2 linked regions of the Drosophila melanogaster genome follow. The protein of the gene in region 2 interacts with the protein of the main gene of each other region in a pairwise test. Each region holds a gene or a part of one and is shown on either strand. Other genes may lie near its edges. The genes, in order: RpL22-like and Nep7.

Evidence for each region.
Region 1: the proteins of Nep7 (region 2) and RpL22-like interact in a two-hybrid assay, tested with the Drosophila melanogaster proteins (one large-scale study listed by BioGRID).

Annotation. Positions count from the first base shown.
Region 1 is NT_033778.4:23,245,950-23,249,665, forward strand, and holds RpL22-like (ribosomal protein L22-like), read right to left. Parts: upstream 1,945-3,716; 5' UTR 1,829-1,944; intron 1,777-1,828; 5' UTR 1,775-1,776; coding exon 836-1,774; 3' UTR 661-835; downstream 1-660.
Region 2 is NT_033777.3:27,953,095-27,957,889, reverse strand, and holds Nep7 (neprilysin 7), read right to left. Parts: upstream 2,974-4,795; 5' UTR 2,870-2,973; coding exon 1,724-2,869; intron 1,660-1,723; coding exon 652-1,659; 3' UTR 564-651; downstream 1-563. Other genes in the region: CG4884 (uncharacterized protein), read left to right, coding at 1-83, 146-218, 271-474; CG4951 (uncharacterized protein), read left to right, coding at 3,838-3,888, 3,944-4,392, 4,549-4,746.

The sequences.
Region 1 (3,716 bases), on a different chromosome or scaffold from region 2:
TTGACAAGAGTCGGCGATGACAGCAATTACCATACGATTTGCATGACGTTTATGTTTATTTTCGCTTTGTATTCCCTTCCAGGCGGCAATCGTGAATATTTTGCCCAGCCTTTGTGTTCTTTTGGCCAAGTCGAAAAGAAGCCAACCTGCGAGTGCTCAGGTTGATTTCGATTTTGACAGCTGCCTGCCTGACTCACTCCACTGGGCTGCCTCGCTGTTCGCATTTTGGCTGGATTCGCATTTCATTAGCTCGTTATGGACCACCTACGGCCAGGCCGGGCCAACTGCTGACAGAGGAGCACCCTCTGATCCCCACCCATGGTTTCGTCCATTTGGCAGACCCACAGCGAAGCAATTAAGCCGCCTGGCATCGAACACAATCCCGTCCAATGGGGCAATTTAAGGTATTTACAAAAGCGTAAAAAGGTAAGGAAAACAAGACTGGCTCCTCCCAATCAAAACATGACGAATGCCACTCGAGGCCCTCTCCGAGATGTCAATCGTTCAAGTTTAAGTCGATTCGACCGAGGAACGCTCCGCTCCTTCCTCCTAACTGACCGTAAAATGAAATCTTTAAGTTCTTCAAGGGAACTCTGCAGCTTCGGATGAGAATACATACATATATGATATACTCTTGTTAGGGTTTTTTTTTTTTTTATTGATATTTCATCGTTGAATATGTTGAAGCAAATGAGCAAAAATTGTATGAGCCACATTGAGAACTAGTGAAACTTCAAGTGGGAAATTTAACAGAAGTATACTGAGAAATTTAAGAAGTCTACACACTTGAACAGCTTTCATGGGATATACATGTTTTCGAAATGCGATCTTTGTTTTAGGCAAAGGTTTTTCCGCCATTGTCGTCGGCAACGTCGTCGTCGTCGTCATCAAAGTCCTTGTCCTGAATCTTAAAGTAGGTCATGGCGAAGGTGTCCTTGGCCGTGGACACTACCCGCAACCAATCACGCAGGCTGACCTTCTTCAAATACCGTTTGGTCAGATACTTGAAGTAGCGCTTGGAGAAGTGCACACCGGAGTGGATGATCAGCGAGAAGTTCTTGGTGCGCTCGAAAGTGACCTGATCCTTCAGCTGGTTGAGCTTGTTCTTTATCTTGATGTGGGTCTTCAAATACTGCTCGAAGTCGGCGAGGTCCAGGATCATATCCTCGGCCACGCATGCGCAGTCGATCACAAAGCGTTGCCAAGCCTTCTTTTTGGCCAGCCTTTTTCCACGCAGAACATTCTTCGTGCGTTTCGGCTTGGGCTTCGGATTTGCCGGAGTGGCGAGGCTCTTTTTTACACTTTTAGCTTTGGCTGCTGGAACCTCGACATTTTCGGCTTTTGGTGCTGCGGCAGCTTGTTCCTTGGGCTTTTCTTGCACCAGGGCGGCCTTTTTGGCGGGGACAACCGTGGGTATTTCCGCATTGCCACGTTTAGGAGGCGCAGACTTTTTCTTATTGTCCACCTCAGGGGCAACGGGTTCCGGCACTTGCATCAAGTTCTTGCGTGAAGCATTCTGGCCTTTCTTCGCCTTCGAGACCAACTTCTGGTCAGCAGCTTCGGCGGCCTTCTTAGCCGATTCTTTCATGGCCAAATCGAGATTCTTTAGTGCCACGGCCGGAGCTTTGGCCACCTTTTTAGAGGACAAAGGCGGAGCCGCAGATGGGGTGGCGGTTTCTACAGGAGTCACCTTAGCCGGGGCTTTCTTCGACGGCTGTGGGCCCGCCTTCGATTTGGCCTTGGAAGCATTCTTTTTCTGCGTCTGGGAACTCATTCCTATATGGCAAAACATGAGCACACGCCTAAAATTTTGAAACAATTAACTTACTCCAAAGAAATTAGTATCAAAAATAGGTTTAGAAACACCACGTGACTTCCTCCGTTGAAGTTTGGCAGGAAAAGAATTAGAGTGGCCAAGTGTAGCAACAATCAGAAAGTAACTGCATTTGCGATCCGTGTGACCTTGCTCACAATCGACTGTGCTTACGTAGAATGCGAATGCCAATTATTCGATTATCTTGGGCGGCATGTTTGTGAAAAAAAAACAGGAAATCTTTAAGTGAAATCACGAGAAATGAGTGTGGAGCAGGTTGGGATGTTGACGCTCTGATTTAACGCTGATTAATTGGCACGAAATTATTATTACCGCTTGTCAGCCGGGGATCAATTTGGCCTTGTTTGTCGTCTCGCCTCCAGTTCGGCCTCAGTAATTTGTAGTTTTCATATTATACCAGCTCCCTTTTAAGCTCTTTTATTATAGGGTATTGTGGTGGATCGAAATCGATTTAAACTTGCGCACACAGGTTCGAGATAAGTTACCAAAGTGGAATCCACATGAATCCACAGAGATAGCTCAACTTTTCCCAATGCTAGGCAAATTGAATTCCGAAAGCCTGTTTAAAGTGTCATCACCTTCCACTCTCTTTGTCGGCCAGTTCATTTATTTCCGAGTTGTACAAACATTTAGCTATCGCTTCAATATTTTTTAAGCCACAAGGAAATCCCTAAATTGCATAACATATCGCTTTGCAACGAGCGCCATTTATCAAATTCAAATGAAAGAGTTGGCCACCAACTGGGATTTGGGATTGTGGATGGGAGATGCCACCTCCTATCGGCAGGAAAAATAAAAAATAAAAACAAAAGCAAAAAGTGCAAGCCAAAGTGAATTCCCGCGGAGCGTTTAATCAAAACTTACCGGCGAACGCGTTCGCTGACAATGAGAAATTGCAACAAATTCGCGCTACATCGAAACCTTCTCCCTCGTGCTGTCTCTTTCTGTCTCGTTGCAGCCGTCTCTTTCGCTTGCCACTGCCAAGAGCAAACAAGGCTTAAAAAGGATGGCAGGAGGGGCGGGACAGGGGTGTCGATGGCAGCGCAAACAAAGCGTCGCGGAACGTCCAAAGAAATGCAGCGATCACGTATACGCACCCCTGGCCACCGAAACATAACCCAAGCCCATCTATCCACCTTCTCATACCCTAACAGAGGGTATTACTATTCAAATGGACTTTGGATCATCCTAAATTGTTTATAATAAAAGAAGAAACCAAAAGAGTGAGATTTAGGGCGACTTTGGTACATTTATATGACCTTTCCATACTCGCAATAGAGATTGGAGAAGTCAACCCTAGGGTATTTCGGGTACGTACCACTGTTTTTCCAACGCCGCATGAAGCTCCTGCAGTTAGGATGCTACTCGATTTCCCAGCCGCCGACTGGATATTGTTTTCTGGTAGTTTTGGTTCTTTTTTTTTTTGGCGGTTTTGTTTCGGTTGCGGATATGAAAAATGATGCCGAAACGATTTTTACAACCAAAAGCGCTCCCAGGCGCAGCCTCTTGCCGCGTCCTCCTCGCGGATTCGGAGATGCAGAGATTCGGAGGCAGGTAGAAGCAAGTGGAGTACCTCCCGCTCACTGCGAGCACTCGAAGTTGATTGATGGGCCCGGCATTGGCGATTGGGCGATGGGAAAACTGCAACGGTGGGCGTGACGGCCCTCCGCCCCCTGCGAAAAGTGGGAGGAATGATCGGCGGAGTCGTGCGGCTTCTGGCCCGAAATCAATCTGGCTAAACGGTAGCAAATGGGCGGATGGAAAGCGGAAAATGGGATTGGCAGTGCGGAGGCGTCTTTGGCCTGGGAGTTTGCCTCGTTATGGATGGCAACGGCTGTCCAGGGACATCGATCACTTCGACATCAGGTGGGCAGGCAGGCAG
Region 2 (4,795 bases):
AGGGACTCCAAGGTGGTCAAGACCAAGGTGAACTCACTGCGCGCCGATCTCCTACTGAAAGCTGGCCTGGGCATGGCGAGAAAGTAAGAAACAGCCGAAGGTTTTCTAAATGCCCCCAATAACCATGATGTCTTACCTCCCACAGCAAAGTGGAACTGAATTTCTACGAGAGCAAGATACGCGTCAATGGAAAGAAGCTGCCCAAAAAGAGTGCCCAGGTATGGAGTCCATATATAGATCGAATTCAATCTTATGATTTACCATTTACAGCTGGAAGTCGGCGATGAAATCGACGTAATCCGAGGCTTTAGTCAATCGAATCCTTCCCATCTGGTCGTGGCCCGCGTCTCAATCCTCTCCGTCAGCGAGCGCGAGGAAGGACTCAGCGTCCACCTGAGGCGCTACAAATCCCTGCTGGTCGAGAATTACCGGGGACCCAACGCCTTCAAATCCTCAGAGCACGTTGCTCATTAAAACCAATTAGAAATAAAGAGACTATTAAGAGTAAATGGGTAAAGTCGAGTGAGTTAACTCAATTGCAGAAATGTGTAAGACTATATCGTCGATTTGCATTATTTTTCCTGTTTTCATTTATTTTGTAGTTGAACATCTAGAGTATTTTACATCTTTTCCTTTATATACGACTTATGGTCACCACATCCGACAACTCTCAGCCTTCGGATGCATTGGACTGCCCAGTGGGCACTTGTAGACCTCAGCAAAATCGTCGTTGTTGGAAACGGCACCCAGCACCCGATACTTATCGACGGTATGTGCGCCAGTGAGCTCCTCCCAGTAGTGCTCCGGCTCGTAGTCGGCGCACCACAGCTGCGCGAATCCCACGAAGAAGAGCTGCTCCGGCGACAGGTCGAGGCCGGGCATCTGCTCGTTTTTGTGAGCCAACGTCTCCCCATCCGCTCCACTTCGTTGCAGCTGCTTCATGTGGTTTCGATAGCCGGTGAGTGCGGCCCTCAAGCCACCGGCGTCCGCTATGTTCTCGTCCCTTGTCTCATTGCCGCGAATTGTCTGGTTGATTTCCGGTATCAAGTATTGGTTGAAGTAATCCACATAGCACTGCGCCCGTTCCTGGAATACCGCCTCCGACTTCCTGGACCACCAGTCGCGTACTTCGCCGGCGCTGTCGAAACTGGAGCCCTCCGTATCGAAGCCGTGGGTCAACTCGTGACCTATCAGATAGCCAATGGTGCCGAACTTCAAGGAATCGGGCCATGAACGGTGGTACGCAGGCGGATGCAGTACTCCCGCCATCACGTACACCGAGTTATCCAGATTGTAGTAGAAGGCGTTCACCTGCATTCCCACGAGCAGTGTCAGTGGCTTTGTGTCCTTGGGCAGCTCGTCCGCATGTAAGCCAGCGTAGCGATGAAGATAGGTGCCCAATACTCGCAGATTGATCAAACTCTGGGCATAGCTGCCTTCAACAATGGTCAGATTGTTGATCTCGCGGATTAGAGTGTCCGACAGCTCTTCGTTTTTGTAACTGCCGATTACTGGCGTGATGCCGGCCTCCTTGCTCAGAGCCTCTGCTCGCGTCTCCGCGTCCAACCACTCCACACTCTCGAGGATCTGTCGCTGGGCCTTTCGCATTTCGGTCACCATGTCAGAGATCTCCGAGTGCTTCTCGTCGGTGAAGTGCTCCTATGAAAGTTAGTTGATATCAATTGAAAAGCTAAGCTTCACATATTCACAGCATCCAACTCACCGCCATGTAGAGCCTGTTGAACAGATTTGGCAGCGTCATCTGGACGATCATCAAGCAGTTAACCTTTTGGTCCTCCGGCTGCTTGGGCTCCTTCAGCTTGTCGTCCATGCGGTAGAGAAACCGCATGGCTAGATAATTGGCCACCGCCTCCGTATGCTTGGCGCACACCTTGTCGAGCTCCACATAGTAAAAGTCGCAGAATTCGCCACCGGACGAGCCGTTGTAAAAGTCTATACCATTCCAGGCTATCTCGTAGTAGCTCCTCCACTGACCAAATCGCGGCACCTCCTCAATCTCACTGAGCAAATCGCACTTATCCCTATCGCTCTCGAACTTATCCTCAATACTGAGCGCCTCGCTCCAAAAAGCAAAGACGCCTTCGATCACGGCAGAGATTTCATCCTTCGTGAGATTGTATTCCTTCAGGTAGCCACGCATGCGATGCTCGTTGAGCTGGTAGGCCCGCGAGCTCGTATTGGCAACGTGAGCGGTGTGGACGACATGGTCAAAGCCCAGTTCGGGTAGCTTGAAGTACGGATTGAAGGGATGCTGCGGCAGAATTTCTTCGTGGATCAAACTGCGAACGCCGTAGTTGCTGAGATGGGCGCTCATGTTGAACCAACTGAAGCTGGAGGCGTTCCAGGCGTCTCTGTCGACGGCGGGAAAACCACCCAGCGACCTGATAACCGATAGATAAGCGGGATCGGCAGCGGGCCGCGGAAAGAGCTCGGCCGCCAGGCAGGAATTGTAGAAGCGTTGTGCAACGAGCAGCTCGGCGGACACGTTCAGTGCCTCCGCCAACTTTGTCCTGGTCAGCAGCTGCTCCGTCACGTCCATCAGTGTGTAGCTGATGTCCAGAATATTGCTCCGCCTATGGGGCGATTGCCGCGGCGTTTTCACGTTCTTCCAGTTGCCGCACGCGAACTCGTAGAAGTCGTCGCACGGATCGACGCTGAAGTTCATATAGGACTTCATCATGGCGCCATGGGATCGCAGGTAGTCGGCCGTCTCATCCGTAATCGCGTTCTCATGGGACTCGTCGCCAATACTCCTGGCCTCGCAGTCATTCAAAATCACGCAGATCAGGATGCAAACTGCCAGCCGCGTGTATAGGGGCAGTCGAAAGTAGCTCGAGATTGAGAGCATATTGGTCCGATTCGCAGGGCACACACGCAGTTTGTATAATATAATAAAGTAGTGCGGCCAGTGATCGATCGACCCGGATTATTTGAAAAACCCAACAAGCTCGACTACCTAATCCGGAACGCGATTGAGAACTGAGCAAGCAGCAGCATCTCTCCGATCCCATCGGCGTGTGCTTTTTTTTCGCAATCATGTTGACCAGCAGCACTGGACAACAGAGATTATAATGAATTATATTACTATGACGTCGTTCCGCACACTTTCACCATCTTTGGTGCGCATTCTAAGCCACTGCTTTGAATAATAAGGAGGAGGTCATGGGCATCCAAGCTATCTCTCTAGCCAACTTAGTTTTTAGGTAACCACTTTCGCAGAATGGGAACGATTTTGCTGCACTGTGTAGTCCGGCTGTTCTCTTGGCGAGACTTGACCTAAGCCACACGCTTCTGTTGATAAGGATTTGTAAGTTCTGGGAGATTCATTGATAGCGCCCCTCATTCATTCAGAGTAAAAACAATTCTCAGTTTTGGTTTCAAAATCTCATCGTCACTTGTGTCACACGATTGCACATTGTGAACACGTTCTGAACTTTTGTCCTAATTAACACTTAACACTTTTTTATCTTTGTTGTTTTTTTTTATAAATAAATGCATATATCAGGTGGATTCTTAATATGTTCATTATGCATAATTACTATTTTTATACTTTCTATAGAGATCTCTGTGGTAAAACGTAAAAGTATTTCTTGTCACGTTCCAAAAAAACATTTTGCAGTTTTCTCCAGATAATGAATATTTATGAATTGAATTCAGCTTAAGTTGATACTTTTTTGCCGCCCAAACGTCGATAAAAAAATACAATCGATAGACCACCAAAGCGCTCGTAGTGTGCCCAAAGATCCGCCCCGAATTGTTGTTGCTGTGCCTGTCAGCGGCTACGGTCACATCAGGACGCATAGCAATTTTATAAAAATGTCATTTTCCGCCATCGGTGATTGCCAACTAATTTCGCAATTATACCAGGTAAAAGCCACTGAGATGTGTGATCCGCCATGTCCTAAAGCAGCTCCCATTTCAGTACAAGAAGCACCGCGTCATCTGCAGCGTCAAAGTTCTGCCGACACCTGTGACCCATTTTGAGCGGGAATCCAAGAATGATTTCCATTGGATGACCGCGGATCGGTGGAGCCGGATTGAGTGTGGTCTATGGCGCCTGTTCGAGAACCTGAAGCAGTGGCAGGATGCCTACCAACTGGACACCGAGCTCATTATCGATCACATCATCGTGCGCGTCCAGGCGACCAATAAGTCGCATCCTGCAACGGTCGCTCTTCTGGCCGGTACGGAGTCCAGCTCCAAGGATCTCTGCCTGGACCTACAGCTGCAGTACATAACACAAGAGGACACCACCATTGTGGACGTCATTCCCGCCAAGCGCGAGCTTGCCACGGAAGCAGAAACAAATGGCACCAGACCCACATCCCGCAAGATCCGCGTAGCAAACTCAGGATCCAAGCCAAAAGCGGGGTAGGAAACCCTATTAATTAGTCCCAAATACTCCATAGGCTTGGATTGTGTGGTTTTTGATCCCAATAGCTATGAACCACCTTTGCACCTTTCACATTTTATGTACCGAAGTTGAATGCATTTTAATGTTTTCTCCACTGCATGTTTCCCCTCCAGCACACAATCGAAGCCCAAGCACATTGACGCCGACAACGAGGATGACAAGAGCTCCACCACGGCCAGCCAACCAACCAAGATCAAGAGCGAGCGCAGGTCCATTTCCCAAGGAGGCGAAAAGGATAAGGCTTCTTCCAGCAGCCCCAGTTCCTCGCAGCAGAGCAACCGCATTAAGCGATCGCACAGTCCATCACAGCAGTGAGTTAGGCGAAGGCTAGGATGTGAGAGAACTAAGAGCCTATTGATC